Kluyveromyces lactis: one gene and its partners. The protein of the gene in region 2 purifies or fractionates together with the protein of the main gene of each other region. This does not show direct contact. Links are inferred from orthologs where the notes say so. Each region holds a gene or a part of one and is shown on either strand. Other genes may lie near its edges.

Evidence for each region. Proteins that work in one complex are often made in the same cells at the same time.
Region 1: the proteins of NOP12 (region 2) and BRX1 purify together in Saccharomyces cerevisiae (affinity purification with mass spectrometry; 3 studies listed by BioGRID). This does not show direct contact. The link is inferred for Kluyveromyces lactis from reciprocal best matches to the Saccharomyces cerevisiae genes NOP12 and BRX1.
Region 3: the proteins of NOP12 (region 2) and RRP5 purify together in Saccharomyces cerevisiae (affinity purification with mass spectrometry; 3 studies listed by BioGRID). This does not show direct contact. The link is inferred for Kluyveromyces lactis from reciprocal best matches to the Saccharomyces cerevisiae genes NOP12 and RRP5.
Region 4: the proteins of NOP12 (region 2) and PWP1 purify together in Saccharomyces cerevisiae (affinity purification with mass spectrometry; 4 studies listed by BioGRID). This does not show direct contact. The link is inferred for Kluyveromyces lactis from reciprocal best matches to the Saccharomyces cerevisiae genes NOP12 and PWP1.

Annotation. Positions count from the first base shown.
Region 1 is NC_006041.1:1,577,368-1,581,251, reverse strand, and holds BRX1 (ribosome biogenesis protein BRX1), read right to left. Parts: upstream 2,519-3,884; coding exon 1,622-2,518; downstream 1-1,621. Other genes in the region: KLLA0_E17821g (S10 family peptidase), read right to left, coding at 1-177; MDM20 (Mdm20p), read left to right, coding at 3,131-3,884. UniProt on the Saccharomyces cerevisiae protein: Required for biogenesis of the 60S ribosomal subunit.
Region 2 is NC_006042.1:733,268-737,592, forward strand, and holds NOP12 (rRNA-processing protein NOP12), read right to left. Parts: upstream 3,011-4,325; coding exon 1,622-3,010; downstream 1-1,621. Other genes in the region: KLLA0_F07755g (uncharacterized protein), read left to right, coding at 1-230; SYN8 (syntaxin), read right to left, coding at 486-1,268; Rpd3L histone deacetylase complex subunit DEP1, read left to right, coding at 3,787-4,325.
Region 3 is NC_006038.1:728,522-733,770, reverse strand, and holds the start of RRP5 (Rrp5p), read right to left. Parts: upstream 3,922-5,249; coding exon 1-3,921. Other genes in the region: YPK9 (putative acid anhydride hydrolase), read left to right, coding at 5,088-5,249.
Region 4 is NC_006041.1:1,732,087-1,736,582, reverse strand, and holds PWP1 (rRNA-processing protein PWP1), read left to right. Parts: upstream 1-1,156; coding exon 1,157-2,875; downstream 2,876-4,496. Other genes in the region: glycylpeptide N-tetradecanoyltransferase NMT1, read right to left, coding at 1-567; UGX2 (Ugx2p), read right to left, coding at 3,105-3,662; KLLA0_E19471g (fatty acid desaturase), read left to right, coding at 4,211-4,496.

The sequences.
Region 1 (3,884 bases), on a different chromosome or scaffold from region 2:
AATATTTGAGCTGAAGACACTAAACTGAGTGTTATAATTTGCAGTTTCATGATCCTCGATGTTGTTATTCCCGTCGAAACTGTTCGAGAATAAACTATCAACAACGGCATTCAACGAGATGGCTAAAGTGACAGATAGCCAGCCGTATAAAGATAAAAGAAACTTTATCGAAACCATGGCAGACACCGATGTACTGACTACTACCCTGAATATACGGCAATGGCAGTCTGTAGACCAAATACTAAGGAGATGATGGAGTAAGGGTCACTGAAAACCCTTTGTTTTAAAGAGGACTATTCATATTTTCGAAGTCAGTACATTCGATACGATCGGGTAACCACCAATACTATTGGCGGTAATATATCATGAATTTGTAGTTCACGTGATATTCACGTGAATGGCCGTTTTCTAATCTTTTTCACCTTCCGCGTCATCTTAGAAAGCATGCTCGAAGAGCCATGAAAATGTCAAGAATAACTCACCTTCTAAGAGCCGTTGAATTGTCGTATTGAGACCATTATGTGTCCATTCTATTGTCTTCCGTATCCAGTTGACAGAATTCAGCAGTAAACATACGTTAAACTGTGTGTACTCTCTGGTTTTTACCAGTTTTATACGAGCTGCTCTTACATGATTGGTCCAGTAAACTGTGTGAGGTGTATGGGTGTGTTGAAGAATATGCTACGTCTGTTTCTGAGCGATTTACTCTTAAAAAGCGTGTAAAGCAGGATTTCCTTTCTCAAAGCTGAAAAATTTCAAAGTTTCGAATTCTTCTCACTAGAAAGAACAAGGCGGTTTTGAGCGAACTTTTGCACTGGATCAGATGCGTTATTAGTGGTATCCTATACACCTTTGTTCGAGATTCACTCTGTTAGAATATAGACCAAGAAAATAATTTGATATACGATGAGTGCTGCATACACAATTTTGGGTAGAACTGTTCAACCACATCAATTGGCCCTAGGGACTTTAGGTGCTGTATTATTGTTGGTTATTCCAAACCCATTCAAGTCTAAGCAACCAGCCAAGCCATTATACTCTACTTCCTCTAAGGGTGAGGAAGATTTCATCAAGGCTTACTTGGAAAAGCATACTGCCAACGCTGAAAAGCACTAAAGATAAAAGTCAGGACATTTTTACTTCCTTATTAATTCTACCCACTTGACTGTTCAATTCACGTTTCCTGAAAATTATACAGTATGATTTGTTATTACTACGCATAACATCTTCGTATTTGGGGAATAGAAGAATGCAATGGCATTGGGCAAGTAAAATATTAATAAATCTATTAAAATTCAAACAAATGATAAAAAAAACATTTCAAACAGCACACTGTGGTTCACACCAAATGTAAAAACGTTTTCCCCATGACGTTTCATGACGCTTCAAGTTTAACTGGTATTCTGGCCCCCCAAGTTAACTAAATAAATTAAATATTCATGTACGACTTTAACGTATAGTATAGTTAGGAATAAAACGAAAAATTATATTATCAAAAACAGCCCATTCAAAAGCATATATATAGGAGTATACATATGTACAAGTCTGAGCAGGAAGAACGCCGTTCTCCTAAGTTGACAATATATAAATCATGATTTTTTCTAGAGTTCTGGATTGTACTTTAATCTTTGAACAATGCATCGTTGGATAATGGATCTACAGCCAAGACACTTTCTCTCTTCTTTAGTTTCCTTTCAACAGCAGCTTCGGCTCTGGTCTTAGCTTCCTTGGCAGCCTGTTGTTTAATTTGAGATCTAACGAAGTTTGGCGATACGTATTGTCTGTTTTCGTAGATCTTTGGACCACCAAATGAACCTTCAAGGATCAAAATCGGTGTCATCACGAAACGTGGGCCAATTTCAACTAACGACGTTTCATCTTCTTCTTTATCCTCATATTCAACGTTGTTCCTAGCTTCATGCGAGATCTCATACGTTCTTACCCAGATCTTTTCGTCAACTATACTGAAAGACATGATATGGTCAATGAATGGCTTGGACTTTCTAGCTTGAGGTGGTACACCGAAGTTATGGATAAAAAGTTCTTTAATTAAACGGTAGTGCGGTTCAGAATCAAATCTACCATCAAATGACAATATTGGTCTGGATCCCTTCAAACAGTTGCCAGTGAAGTTTAATTCGTCCATGGTATGTAGGTTCTGCAAATAAAACTTGATTGTTGGTCCATTTGGTGGCTTTGATAGCCATAGGTACAAATCCTGGTGCTTTCTAGCTTCAAAGAATATAATGTTATTACAGTTGTACAATTCCGCAATCTCATTCAATTGTCCTAGATCCTTCTTCGTGTCCAACTTAGGTTCCTTTCTCGAATGTGGTAGAAGACTGTTCAAATCCTGAACCAAATGACGATGTCTATAAGTAACACCTCTGGACGTAATAAGTAAGGTACGTTGCTTATTCATGAACTGTTTCTCATTACTGTCACTGTTAGCCGCATTATTTTTGTTCTTCTTACCGTCTTTATCCTTACGAGACAAAGTCTTGAAAATACTCGACATTATAGAAGGATTTGCTTAGCAGTTCTTGGCTTTTTCTTCCTTCCAACTACTCAAGTGTAATACAATAATCTCAAAGTGTTTAGACCGACGATGTATAGATTGGAAGGATCAGGACAACCTTGTTCAATACCTCTTCTCATCTCATCTCATCTCATCTCATCTCATCTCATCGCCTTTTCTAACTTTTCAAAAATTTTCAATGTACCGAAAAAGAAACTAAGGCTCATCAGTGATGATTTAAAATAGAAAAGGATAGTTTCTCGAAAAGAAAATGTTCGTATCGTCTGCCAACTGGCTTCTATCAGATTCAACGCGGGTGGGGATTGTATGGTGAGGTCTTGCGTTTATATTTCAAGCAGTAAGAGCGCTGATGCCCTTGTTAGGCTGTGCCGTTTACATTTATGGATACACATACAGTTATAGTTTATTATCCGGGTAATCAAGACTGAAAAATTACGATATTGGCTTAATTCAGCATTCAAACTTCTAATGAACAACCTCATACGCACGTCGTTCGTAGAACAACCCGGTATGTCTGGCAGTAACGGTGTTCGTTGCTGTTTGATCTGTTAGATTTGATATCGACCAACACGAAGAGTGGAAACTGTTGATATGAACTCTGAAGATCATCAGCTTTTTCAGCTATTAGATAGGGAACTGTTTAAGAAAGCTTCACAGTTTGTTGCATCATTGCAGAAACGGTACCCATCCGCCACTTATTACAAAGTGTTAGAGCAATATGTCAAGTACAGGCAATCTCCTGCGAAATATAGTTTTGAAAATGGGTTAAAGTTGATCTTGGATGCCAAATCTCCTCCAAGCGATGCGAAATCGCTATCAATGTGCCATCGATTTTTGTTGGAATTAGGTTTTGACACCACCAGTGCATTGGAACCTTATGAAAGAGCAATGATGAAATACGGTAATTCGGAGACATGTTATGATTGGTTCTTGGAGTCATTGAGGGATTTAAATTGGAGACATTTGAGTAAGAGTAGTTTCCAGATGCCACGAGTCAATGAAAAATCGAAATCGAGATTGTTCCAATTCTGGAACAGTATTGCTACTGTAGTATGGTTTCAGTTGGATAAAGATAACATTAACGAAAGGGAATTGGATCTTTTACCTAAGTTGACATATAAATTGACAAGCGATTTGAAACCTTTTGAGAATGAGCAAGAGTTGATCGTTTTCTGTAAAGTTTGTGAATTGTTTGAGGATAAATCACAGGAGATCGTGGACGAGATCCTCAAGTTTTGGAAACATGGTACTTACTTAGACCTTTATTTGAAAAACTTCCTTATGGGCCATTTGGTGAAATTAGACGATTATAAACTCATTTGGAAACATGGAATCTCGTTATTGA
Region 2 (4,325 bases):
ACACCCGTCATGTGTATACGGGGCAGAACTTCAATAGCATGGAACAGCACAAGCAACAACAGCAAGTTAACCCTTATCTGCTGTCCAATAACGTCCAGCAGTCCTTTAACATCAACGATAACCAACAAAGCTATTACGGTAGAAGTATGAAAAATGGCAGTAGCAATAGCAGCAACAATTATAATACCAATAGTCTTGGAGGATCGCATACCATCAATAACAAATGGTAATATTCCGGTTTATTTTCCTTTTATTCAGAATAATATTATTAGCATTCAGATTCTCTACGTTGTTCGTTTCTTATTAATCACTATAAAGTTTTCCACTTAGTTGCTCGAAATGATATTAATTGTTGTGGAAAAGGGTTTTCATTGTTTCTGGTTATTTGAGCTTCAGTTCTAAGAATAGTATTTAATAGCATGTATCCTATTCATTCTAAAACACCATTTTAATTTAATATTTGTTCTCCAATACCATTCCGTATATCAAATTATAACTAAAAGGAATAGTATTATAGAAAGAATCACAATTAGGAAGCAAGGGCCTTTCTCACGAGCTGTTGCTTCGTAAGCATTAAGTCTTCTCCCAGCCCTTTGTAAATGACTTTCACTTCGATCTACTTGGCGCTCAATATCCGTTAAGAGATGTTCATTTTGCTGTTCTACCTCATCGTTAATCTCGATAGATATTCCTTGTGTCCTATTAATAGAACTTGACAGGTTTTCTAGATGGCTCTCTTGTTCCATCAATTGCTGCTGTTGTTGAATGAAAATATCCTGATTTGAAACTTGTGGAGAAATATTGTATTTTGGAGTTCCTGTCTCTTGATTTCCAAATAATTCCTTTCTCTTGACCTCCAATAAATCATCTACAACTGTAGATGAAGACTCATCATCTTTATATGGTTTAAACTTCTGTTCGGGTTCTTTATGCTCTTCAACTAATCCGTCTTTAAACCGTACCTTCTTTGTTTCTCTCAGATTAGGCTTTCTTTTGAATCTATAGAGTTCCTTGTCAATGACTGTTTCTGGCAAGCCTTCAATGATATCATTATAAGTTTTAATCTGATGATTAAATCTATCATCTTCAGAAAAGGGTACATCATCTTCATAATCTTTGAGCAAATCAAGTGTATGGTTTATATGTTTCTTAAGTTTTATGTTATCATTTTTAGATGGTTGCATGTGAAGGACATCCATTAACCTGTCTCTCTCATCCACAATCTCTATTAATTTATCGATTTCATATTCGACCTTCAAACCATTCATTTTTTTATATCTATCGTCCCTCTTTCTCTGTAGATAATACGCCTAACATTAAGCTTCGCATAGGTGTTGGCTGCGTTAGGTTACGAAATGCCACTTATTTTTAACACGAGCTGTCTCTTATGCCAACGAATCACATTTAAGGTTCTCCGGTATATAGCATAAAATATCGAATAGTCAAAGAATTAATAGGACAAAAGAGATTACCCGGAACAATAATTGACAGTAATTCCCCAGTTGAAGCACCAAGACCAATTGCAAGCCAAATCGGAGATACAACAAGTGTCTGTCTTATTGAAAAGTTGGATTATTTATCCATATGTACACTATACTATAATTGTTAAGGTTGTGCTCCATTATTGAGCATTTTGTTTCTTAAAAGCTATCGAACGCTTAGTAACTCTTCCTGTCTTTGATCTGTTCTTTGTTCTTTTTAGTACAGGGGTGGTTTCTCCCTTTGAAGCTCTTAAACCCTCAATTGTCAACTCTTCACCTAGCTTAGCCCTATCAGCCTTACCTAACACCTTCTTAGCTCTTCCCAGTTTTGTCCTTTGTTGGTCGTTTAATTTATTATTTTGTAGGGAAGATTGGTTTCCTTGGGCCTTTCTCATATTCTTGCATCTAGAAATTCTTAGCTTTCTGGCCTTCTTACCTTCATGGATCTTCTTTTCATGTAGTAGTAACGCTTTACTCACTGATTGGAAGTCCTTAAATTGAACGTATGCGAAACCTTTACCCATGTTCGTCTTTGAATCACGAATAATACGAACATATTCAATGTCACCACAAGGTTCAAAGTGCTTCCAGAGACTTTCTTCCACTTCTTCAAAATCCAAATTACCCACGAAGACTGATCTTCTCTTATCATGTGGGGAGGGGTGTGTAACCGAATCCACTCTCAAATGATGGTCGTTGAACACTTTACCGTTCAGATATTGGCACATAATCTTGACCGGATTGGAGCTCCCATATACGGCATATGCGTTGATCGAATCTCTAGATTTGTGAAGCTTTTGATGAACAAATGCAACTTTTCTTGGCAATGCTTCTTCGAATGCAATGGATCTGAATCTGATACTTTCCACATTAAACTTAACATCTTTTGTCTTACTTTCTTCTTCTTCTTCGTCTTCTTCTCCGTCATCGTGGTCATCATTCTCGCTACGGGGATCCTTGGAGAGAAGTTTCTTAAATTCTTTGTAAACTTTCTTTGATGTGATAACCTCATTTGGTACATTCCCAATAAAAATTGTTCTCTCAGCCTTGGCTAGTTCCTTTTCTTTCAAATTGATAACTTTAGCAGATTCAGATTCCGTGCCGGTAATCGAAGACTTATCGACTGCAGTTGCTTCATCTTCATTATCACTATCGGAAGAGTCGTCCTTAGGTTCATCCTTAGGTTCATCTTTAGATTTAGAATCACCTAATACCTTAGAATAATATTGAACTTCCAAATTATCATTCTCTTCATCATTCTTCTTGGTCTTCTTCTTTTTCTTCTTCGGCTGTTCTTCCTGTTCTTCCTGTTCTTTCTCTACTCCTTCGGAGACAGTAGAAGCACTTTCCTGGACATTCTCTTCTTCTTGTTCATCCTTATCCTGTTCAGGCTCAGTTAGCACAGTCCTAGCTTTCGACTTTACTTTACGCTCATCGACATGATTAGGTTTGGAGAATAACGCTGCAATCGATGATGTACCTGCCGCGTCTGATTTGGAATTTCCAAATAAATTGTTCAATGCGGACATCCCGTAATATAATTTTGGTTTGTTATGTTTGAAAGACCCTGGTTCACCAACACAAACGTTATTCCTCTGCACTAAACCTGCTGGTGGCTGTCCAAGTCTCTTCGATGCGATGAGCTTTATCCATTTGTCTGTTGAATTATCGAAAGTGAAAAACCTGCACTTCCTAGAAAAGCCAGCAGAAATCATGAATTTACCACCAAAAAGAAATGCGGAAGAAAAGCGTACGCTCTATGGACAAATCGAATGTATCGTAGTCACGTGATTAACACCGTGGAATGTACTATATGGCCGGGTAACATCATGTTCCTTTTCCTTAAAAAACGTACAAACTGTAAATAGTGCTGAAATGCCGAAATATAAGTTAAGAATAAAAATACAGTCTGATTTTAGCATGAACATATAGTTATGGCCAGTCAGCAATCAATACATAGATCTCATCCAAACGTGATTTAAAATATTGTGTACTACTAAGAATAGAGAGAGATAACTGTTTTGCTAGTAAAAATAAGAATTACGCGAAGTAAGGTATATTTGCAGCCCTTTGTTTTAGTGTGTCAGGTATCAACTTTCAATCTATTCAAGCAGCAATTCTTAACTTATACTGCGCATATTAAACGGTTTGCTGGTTAAATTTTGTGTGTTTCTGCATTGGAGTATAAGCTAAGTGTTTTTTCTTTGCCATCAGCCGATTGGAGTAATACAAAGGTTGTATTGGTTATATGCGTTGGGATTTCTTTCTTTTTGAATTCAAACGGTACTATCTTTGAATCATTCAAATGGAGCCAGAGAGAAACAAAAATAACAGTGTAGAGGCTGCGAGTGAGATTGACGATCATAATACCAGATCTGCCCCCACTACGAAACTTACCAAAGAAGTTTTAGAGAAGATTGCTTCGGATTCTGATTCTGTTAATTTTAACGCAAATAGTTATTCAAGGAAATCGAAATCAGGGAGTCCCTCAAAGGTTGGTACATTAGAATACGACGATAACAGTACCAGTGGATTATCTAAGGTCACTTCTCCAGAACATCCAAACTCAGTCTCTCTATCGGACATATACATCTCATCAGACGCTGAGACCGAAAAGATGGATTTAGAAGAGGACGAATCACGTGTCAAACTATCGGAAATGGCATCCAATTCGATTGAAAGTAACGGTAATGACAAAAGTAAACAAAATGATGATAATCTTTCGAAGACTGTAAAACAAGAGTACATCAATAATGGTGTCGGTAGTTATATTCAAGAATCTGCCCCTAAACTTGCTACTCCTTCAAAAGATGAGGGACCAATCGTTCAGCAAGATAAACCAGC
Region 3 (5,249 bases), on a different chromosome or scaffold from region 2:
GGTCTTTAAGACGATTGCTTTAACTTTGTCACCTTCACCGAAAAGGTTTTGTAAATTATCTATTTTAGCGTCAGCGACTTCACTTTTGTGGGCCAAACCAGTTACGTTGACTGTACCGTCCAACTTTACGAAAACACCAAAGTCAGTAACATTCTTCACAGAACCTTGGAAAATATCGCCCACATTAATATCAGAGTATGATTTTAATACGTTCAATTGACCGTTGACTTCAGATTCCCTCAAAGTTAATAGTACGCGATCATCATTATCACAGTTCACAACCTTACCGACAACACTTTGACCTCTTCTGAAAAATTTCTTCCAATCCTTGATAAAGGCATCCGTAAGCTTGGAAACTGGAACGAATGCTTGCAATACACTGCTCAAACTAATAAAAACACCTTTGTCAGTGATAGATTTAACAAAACCACGAACAATATCACCTCTCTTCAATTCAGAGGAGGAGATGATGGTACGGTCCTTTGGAGAAGAAGAACGCAAGGATAAATTGATCTTGTTATTGTCTATGTCAACATTCAAAACTGTGGCGGAAACAATGTTCTTCTTTTTGGAGTCATAGACATCTTTCAACGATAGAGAATAATCATCTAAAGCATCGGTTATGAATGAAACACCAGTAACATCTTTACCTAAAGACAATAAAACGTAAGTATCCTGAACAGAAATTACCCTAGCAGGTAGAACATCGCCTTCTTTAATTTCTGAAATAGAGGAGATGGCGTGCGATCTAGCAGAAACAACTAGTGAATCATGCTCAGTATCAATAGATTTGACGGTTACTCTGACAGCTGTACCTATTGGGTATTTCTCTTCAATTGGTAAGGAAAAGTCATGACCTTCATCTGAGATCTCAAAGATTGGTAGTTTGGCCTTGACAGTAGGAGTGATAGTCAACCATGCGGTATCGTTGCTATAATTATTAATGAATCCAAAGGTTGTTTGCTCTGGAGTGAAGTCCTTGAGTTTCTTTTCGGAAACTGGAGAAGTTAATGAAGATGGCTTTGCGCTCAGTTCGACTAGATGGCTCTTGGATGTTGTGTGAGAAATTGGTAAGAATTTACGGCTTTTAATATCGTGGAACCCGATAACTCTGACTGAGAGTGAATCATTTTTCTTGTACACACTTAATGGTGCCTTTTGTTCTTTGATATCTTCGAAACTGTCGAAAACTTCAGAAATACTGATACGACCATGTACATTATCAGCCAACGTAACGTTAAGCTGGTTCTTCTTAACTGATGTAATTGTAGCCTTTGTAACCTTACCGATAGTGAAGTCCGACAAATCTTTGATAGACTTGTCGACTGGGTTAATTACAGATGAATTGATCTTCTTAACATCGGTCTTTTGTTTTAAAATAGTCAATAAAAATCTTTCATGTTCCTCATCTGTTCTCAATAAATACACGGTCACGGATTGATTGATGTAGTATTTCTTATGAATATCAATATCTCTGGTTTCTGCTGCATAACTTGGTAAAACCAAACCGACAAATTTACCATTGAATGCAACAAAAACACCACGGTCAGAAACAGATTTAACGTAACCATGCATCGGTTCTGTTTTGTCTTTATTTTTGATGTCGGAAAAACTTAAAGGAAGGGTACCGTCTTCAGCATCTTTAATCAATGATTTTTTACAGGACATGTTGAACACATGAGTCCTGATGTCCTTGTCCAAAACCAAACCTCTAACTTCAGAGTTAATCTTTAACTTTTTCTGCGAAGCTCTGTTTTGTTCAATTCTATCATCTGACAAATGGCCGGTGTAAATAACACCGCGCAACCCTGAATCTTTAGATTCTACGATGACGGAATCTTTAGTCTTTTCAATAACAATTGCATCGATGATAGATTTACCGACAACTAAAGATTCAATAGCACTCTTTTGCTTGGAAGAAGACTCTGCTGAAATTTTACAAGAAGCAATAATTCTGTTTCTTTCGAAGTCATGATTCAAAATTTTAACCAAAACACTTTGTCCTAGTCTTAAGTGTTCTTGTGGTTTCTTTACAAATGCTTCTGAAATTTCTTTGTTTGGAACGAAAGCTTTGATATTATTAAAGAACGAGATAACACAACCATTAGGCTTGAATATTTCAACAGTACCAATTGTTTTCAATTCTTGACTTTCAACAGTCTGAATATCATCATTTTTGCAGACTAACGTCACAGATTCTTCGTCTGCATTTACAATAGACTTTTTCAATGTCACAGTGACACGGCCCACAGAATCGACATTGAGAACTCTACCTTTAACCTTTGAACCAATTTTGAATTTTCTTTCAGGATACACAAGTCTGGTATCAGATATGTGTAAGGGAGGAACAAATGCCTTAAATTGATCATTGAAAATTTTTAATTCAATACCTTTTCCTGACACTGTGACAATCTCACAAGCGCTCAAAACTTCGCCTGCTGGAATATCGGACGATCTTAGGTATTTGACATCAAGTAAGGCTGGATCAGACGTCAATGTGTAAAGTTTATCTACATTGTTATAGCCGAGTATTCTTGCTTTCACAGTTCCCGTTGGTTCAGTTTCTCCTGCCTTTGACAAATGAATTTGTCCCACCTGTTCATTGTTGATTGATACGTAGAAAAATTGACTATCCCTGCCTTTAACTGTGCAAGAATCGAAGATATAGCCAACGGGGAAAGATTCTAACGCTTCGGTCTCCTGTAATTTTGGATGCAATGAGATGATATGAGGTTGTGTGGAAACGACAGCAACTTTATCGCCGCTTTTCACTATAGTGGTTGCCAAAATTCTAGCATTGACTAAGTCACCAATGGAGTAGTGATGCTTCAAATCCTCTACCGTAAAGAAATTGGAATGTGGCAATGGCAAAAATGCAGTTATTAGACCGAAGGCTTTACCGATAACACCGTGATTTGTGATAGTTTGAGGTAAAAAGTCAATCGATTGACCCGGCACGATGGCATCTATGGAAGAGATCTTTTCGACCTTGGTGTTTTTACTGGCCAAATCCAAGTTGACATTTACAGTTCTACCAGATCTTTTCGTCACTGTAGCTAAGAACACCATACCTGGTAACAAAGAACTGAATTCAGGTATATCCTTCTTTGAGATAAAACCTGTTAAGTTCTCAATACCGATATCAAGAATGGCACCGTGATCTTCTATACTTTTCAACGAACACTGTAGTGGACAGTTTTTAGCTAAATCATCATCTTCAAACACGTTTACTACAGAGGGTTCGATGGATAAGTCTAACTTTTTGTTCTTGTTTGATTCTAAAGCGCTGTTATTTTGTACCATGCACCTCAACCATTGGCCTATTTTGAAATATTTATTGAGATCAGGTAATTCTTTAGGAGTTGTTATGTCGCTTTCATCATCTGAAGAATCGTATTCTGAGTCCTCATTTTTTTCATCATCGCTTTCCATGGATTCGTCCAAATTTTCCAAAATCTTGGTCATTTGTTCAGAGATATCTGTTAATGAGACGTAACCATGCAAACCGTCCACCAAAGATATTTTCAGTTCATGTTTGCTGATCGATTGGATTTGACCCAAGACAATGGTCCCTTTGGTCATTTGTTTCATTCCAAAATGCTCAATTAAATCAGTCTTGTCCTCTTTTTCTTCATCATCACCTGTGGTAATTTGATCAAAATTATTCTTAGCATTCTTCTTTTTCTTCTTCGTTGGGCCCTCTGCACCAGTAGCTGATTCATCCTTGCCAAATAAAACATCAGCAACCACTTCGTTACCAACCTGCTTAACTTCCAATGGGGATAAAGCAGAAGAACCACCTCTTGGAAATGAGATTTCCTCGGATTTACTCAATGCAGATTTGGCTGGTGCTTCGGTAGCATCCTGTCTTACTAAAGGAGACTCATCGTCTCTCTTTCTTTTACTTTGTGGAGCAACCATGTTTGTGATCTTTTTCGGTATTTAGATATGCCTGTTTTCAAAACAAATTACACCTAGCAATTTAGATGTAAACCTATGTTTTTCTTGAAGTGTCTTGCAAACTATTGAAGCTCCTGTTCCCAAGTTGTTGTTGTTTTTGTCTTCTGTGAAGATAGAAACCAATAAAGCCAATAGAAAGCACAAAGCAAAAAGAATTCAGAGAAAGATACAAAATATGTTATACCAAACTGTTTCCTGTTTGAGAAAGTAAACCAGACTTATCTTTACCAGAATTAAGAAAGTTGCACTTGGTTTCTAGAATCAACAAAGCTCAGAAATGTGTTAGCATACCAATACAAATGATCCAGCACTTAAGTAGCTAAAGCTCATCTCATCTCATCTCATCTCATCGCATCGATTTTTGAAAATTTTCAATATTAAAAAAAAGAAATCAAAACGACATAGACGAAATGTAATCGCGCCTTTGATGCAGTGACAGTTTAATAATGGAACGTTGTACAGATCTTCCGTTGTTATCACTGGAGTTTGTTTGAACCGTATCCACGGATTAGGGTCTTTTGAATGCATGACATACTTCTTAACTATTAAGGGCTTTTGTTAGCCAGTTATTCTATCTTCTTAAAGAGGTATAATAATTACATATCTGTAATGGTGGAAACCATGTAACTAAAAGGTTCTAGGGGAGTGATAAGAGTTTTGTTGGTCATGCTAAGAAAAATTTGTGCAATTACGAGTGGAATGCCTTCTATGGTAATAGTTTCAGATCAGACTATATGTTTTTTCTCTTTTTTGTTCAATTTCATTTCTAAAGGTACTTTCACAGCCGGAAATATTTATTATAAGGCATAAAAGCACCATCATATTACAGTCTAAAGCTGTTTCTGGCTCCTTTCGATCCATTTTCAGGGGCAGTCTATATATCTATCGAACTACGAGAGTTTTATCAACACAGTAAAGTTCCACATTGTAACGTGAGGTATCATTGGCCTGCCTTTTCTCCTATCCTTCCTTATGTATTATGTGTCTTGGTATGAAATTTCATTAAATCAATTATCTTCAATTTATCAACCTACATTCTCATATATATCAGAAACCTTTAAAAAGTAATATGGAGTGGATTCTATCAATAGATAAGGTCGACCAACGCACCTTTGAAGAGGGACTCAATGTCATCATTCGACAGCAGATTTACAGGAATACCCCATAGTGCGAATAAATCAGCAAGACCGTCCTTTTCTTCGACAAGGACGGGATCCAGCGCTAATACAACTACTTCATCAGCAATCTTGGAACAAAACAACACAGAACCATATTCTGGTGCTGCTGTA
Region 4 (4,496 bases), on a different chromosome or scaffold from region 2:
TTCTTTGATTAAAATTGGCGCCAATCTCTTTGATCTCAACTTCTTGTGCACACATAAGAAGTTAATTTCGACACTACGCACATCATTACCTCTAACTTGTAAGTTGGTTGGGATAGCGCTGATAAAACCAACAAGTCTCTTGGTTTCTTTAACCCTGACACCGACTTGCCATTCCTCTTTCCAGCCAGGTGGTTTCAACCCCCAATTCAAGAAATCACGGGAATAATTGAATCTGAAGGTAGAGTCTTTGTCCTCGACATAGTTCTCATTCAATAACACGTATACGTCTTCCAACTGTTTTTCGTCATTAACGTCAACGGTACACCACTCGAAATCTCCCAATAATGGCAAGGGTGTGTCTGGAATATCCTCTGGTCTCTTACTGGAATCAATAGGCCCCTCTTTCTTGATCACTTCATCAAATTTAGTAACCGGCTGAGTCTTCCAGAACTTATACTCGTTCATATCCTTACGTTGTTGAGAGGTGAACTTCGACAAATCACCATCATGGACCTTCAAAAGTTTCAACAACTCTTCCAATTTCTTAGATTTATCTTCTTCAGACATTGTGATATATTATTTCCAGCGGAAAAGACGCGCGTTCGCAGCTACCTTAAGGTCGATCGGGGCAACAATAGCAGTACTAACAAAAGTCAACCGCTGTATCGCCTATTGTACTTCTTTTGAAGTCGTTTCAAATGTCGTTTCCCATATTGACAAATCCTAGCTCAACGTTTTTTTTTTTCAGATTAACCTGAGCGGTGTCATCAAGTCGCACATTTTGCAAACAAAATTACATATTAATGATAGAGAACATTCGATTCAAGATCATCAAGCTGCTATGACAACTATCATAAGGGCTTAATTGTTTGAGATTTATAATTGCGGCTTAACTGCAGTTGTAGATGCCATTAACACCTTATTCCTTTCCGTCTGCGCTGTTTCAACAGGGGTCGAATCCATCTACTTTCTTTTTTCTTTCGAGGTTAGCGATTCGAAAATTTTCTAACATGAGATGAGATGAGATGAGATGAGATGAGATAGGTAGTTGATAAAACTGGGACTGGTTTATGGTTTATAGGCTGTTTGTATTGATACAGGGTGTTCTTATATACCAATTAATCAGTGTATTTGTTTGATAAGTGGAAGTATCACCATGTTGTCTGCTACTTCGTGGGTACCAAGAGGGTTCGCGAGTGAATTTCCTGAGAAATATGAACTTAACGATGAAGAGATGGAAAGGATTAACGAGTTGGCCAAATTGAATTTAGATGAGGCCAAACATGATTTAGAAGAGGCTCAGGAAGCTGAAGAAGGAGGTGAAGAAGTTACAGAAGAAGTGGAAGAGCCAACTACTAATGGTAACGCATTGAAGGACCAATTGGCAGTTGATGACGATTTGAAAGAATTCGACTTAGAGCATTACGATGATCCAGAAGATGAAGCCAACGCCCAAGATGCCATGTTCATGGGTTTATCCGAGGAAGTCAAATTTTACGAGGGTGAAGAAGGTGAAGATCCTTATATTTCCCTTCCAAAATCAAAGGATGACGTGGAAGAGAAGCAAGAATTACAAGTTTATCCGACTGATAACATGGTCCTAGCTACCAGAACTGAAGATGACGTTTCTTACTTGGACGTATATGTGTACGATGATGGTGCCGGGTTCCACGATTCGGATATTCCATCAGAAAAGGGTGATGAACAAGATCCTGATGTGGCGCGTGGTTTAGTTCGTGATTCTTCGTTGTATGTACACCACGACCTTATGTTACCAGCCTTCCCACTTTGTGTTGAATGTTTGAATTACAAGCCAGGTTCAAACAGTGATGAAACTGTTGCAAATTTCGCTGCAGTGGGTACTTTCGATCCTGCCATTGAGATTTGGAATTTGGATTGTGTTGATAAGGCTTTCCCTGATATGATTCTTGGTGAACCAACAGATAACTCTATCGCCTTACCAACTAAATCAAAAAAGAAGAAGAAGAGCAAAAGCAAACATGTGACAACACATCACACTGATGCCATCCTATCTCTAGCACATAACAAACAGTTCAGAGCAGTTTTAGCCTCTACATCAGCAGATCATACTGTCAAATTATGGGATTTAAACACAGCAACCGCCGCTCGTTCGTTAATCAACATCCATTCAAATACCAATGTGTCAGCATCGCAATGGCATCCATCAAACGGTTCTGTGTTATTGACTGCTGGTTACGATTCTCGTGCTGCATTGTCCGATGTGAGAATCGAAAACGACAACGATATGTCTAAATACTGGAACGTTTCATCCGGAGAGGAAATCGAATGTGTCCGTTTTGCTGATGAAAACATCTTCATTTGCGGTACTGATAACGGTAACGTGTACTCTTTTGATATTAGAAATGGTGCCGAATCTAAGCCAGTTTGGACTTTGAAGGCTCATGATGCAGGTGTTTCATCTGTCGAAATCAACAGACATATTCCAAATATGCTGTTAACCAGTGCTATGGGTGAAAAACCTGTCAAATTATGGAAATGTCCATTAGACGCAAAGCCTGGTAAAGGTCCAAGCATGGTACTAAGTCGTGATTTCGGTGTAGGAAATGTATTAACCACTTCATTCGCACCAGATATTGAAATTGCAGGTAATATGGTTGTTGGTGGTGTGAGCCCCGGTCTAAAATTATGGGATGTGTTCACAAACAGATCTGTTAGAAAGAGTTTCCAACCAGAGCTTAAAACCTTACAACAACGAGCAAGAGAAGAGGCCATAGCTCTGGGGAAAAGTTCAAGAATCGCTAGAAAGTATACCAAAAACGACAACCCAGAAACTGTGCTCACTGTGGAGGATCAAAACGATGAGGAAGAAGACGACGAAGAAGATGAAGATTAAATTCTCGTCACACAGTTTCACTATTGTACAATATATAATGCATATTCCTAATTCTCTATAAGGATAAAACAGAATTAAAATGAACCTCCAGTCAAAAATCTCTAGACTAGTTGCAACATAGTACGTCCTTTCTAGGTTACTTACCCATTAATACATTTTCGGCGGCGTATATATCCTGTATGAACATGTACTAATAAAAAAGAGACATTCTGCCAACGAAATTTACAAATTATGATCTTACAAGGCTTTTGAGGAGTTTGTTCTCCAGAGTTTCTGATTCTACATCGATAACGGTCACTTCTGTACGTTTAAAGTTTCCCTGTTCCCTATCAGCAGAAAATGATATACTTCTGTCGGATTTACGTCTTGGTCTAATAAAAGCATCACTGATCCTTCGATAAACCTGCGGAGAGTAACGGTAGTGTGTATTTGTGTCTTTGGAGGAAAGAGTAATGGGCCTGCCATCATGATCCATATTTTCATCTTCGTTTTCACTAGTTTTTTCCGTAACTGCCTCTTCCTCGCATTTTAACCCTTCAATTACCGATTCAATGCTGTCAACATGACCGTCATACACAACTTGACACATTTGCTCGTATCTAGTAGCAAAAAAATCTTGATTCCAATCAAAACCCTGTGAATGAGCCATCGAAATCACATACTGAATCCTTTCAGAAGAACTATTGCCATTATTATCATATCTTCTTGATCCGTAGCTGTCACTGACTTCATAGGCGATCCCTGTTTCACTAGCCAACATGCTAGATGATAGATAAAACTCCCTCATAGAAAAACACAAAGTAATTGGGTAATGTTCAGATCTGCTGCAGATTGGATAAACTTTAGACAAAATATAACTCAACACACCGTTGCATTCGGCTTCATAACAAGATACCAGTTCTTTATATTTCAAGGGTTTTATGCCTGACTCTTTAAACCTCTAAACTACATCATCGGGAACAAAAGACTTTTTATCACGTGACAGTTGGTTCTCATTCGTTTAAAGGGGAATATTCATGATATTTGTTACCCGGAAAATTCAGTAAGTACACCACAGTATAACGCCCGTAAGATAGAATAAATATTCAAATATGTATATGGTGATCTATGAAACAGCCACGTACAATATGCAAACGAAGAATAGCTGTATATCGGTTTTAACATATCAGTTCAATGCAATCATAGTTATAGTACAAGTAGATATAATATTGTGTTTCAGGTACACAAGCCCAATGGAAAGAAAATTAACTATCTAAGCCACCTGTTTTCGTTGATACTATTTATCAAATCATCGAATCCTGAACTTGAAAGCGTCAAGAGCTAAAAGACTACAGTATGAGTAGAGTTTTGAGCAGGCGAGATATCGCTGATAGGATTGCTAAGGGCCAGACGATTGTAATATATGAAGATTCGGTCCTGAACCTGGATAAATGGATCAAGTTTCACCCTGGCGGTGACAAATCTATTTATCATATGATCGGTCGCGATGCGACCGATGAGATGAATGCATACCATGACGATCAGACCATAACAAAATTTAAGATATGGAAAATTGGCCGCATTGATTATCCATGGGAGAATATGCTGCCTCCGATTCAAGGTGGTAGGTTTTCGAAGATTG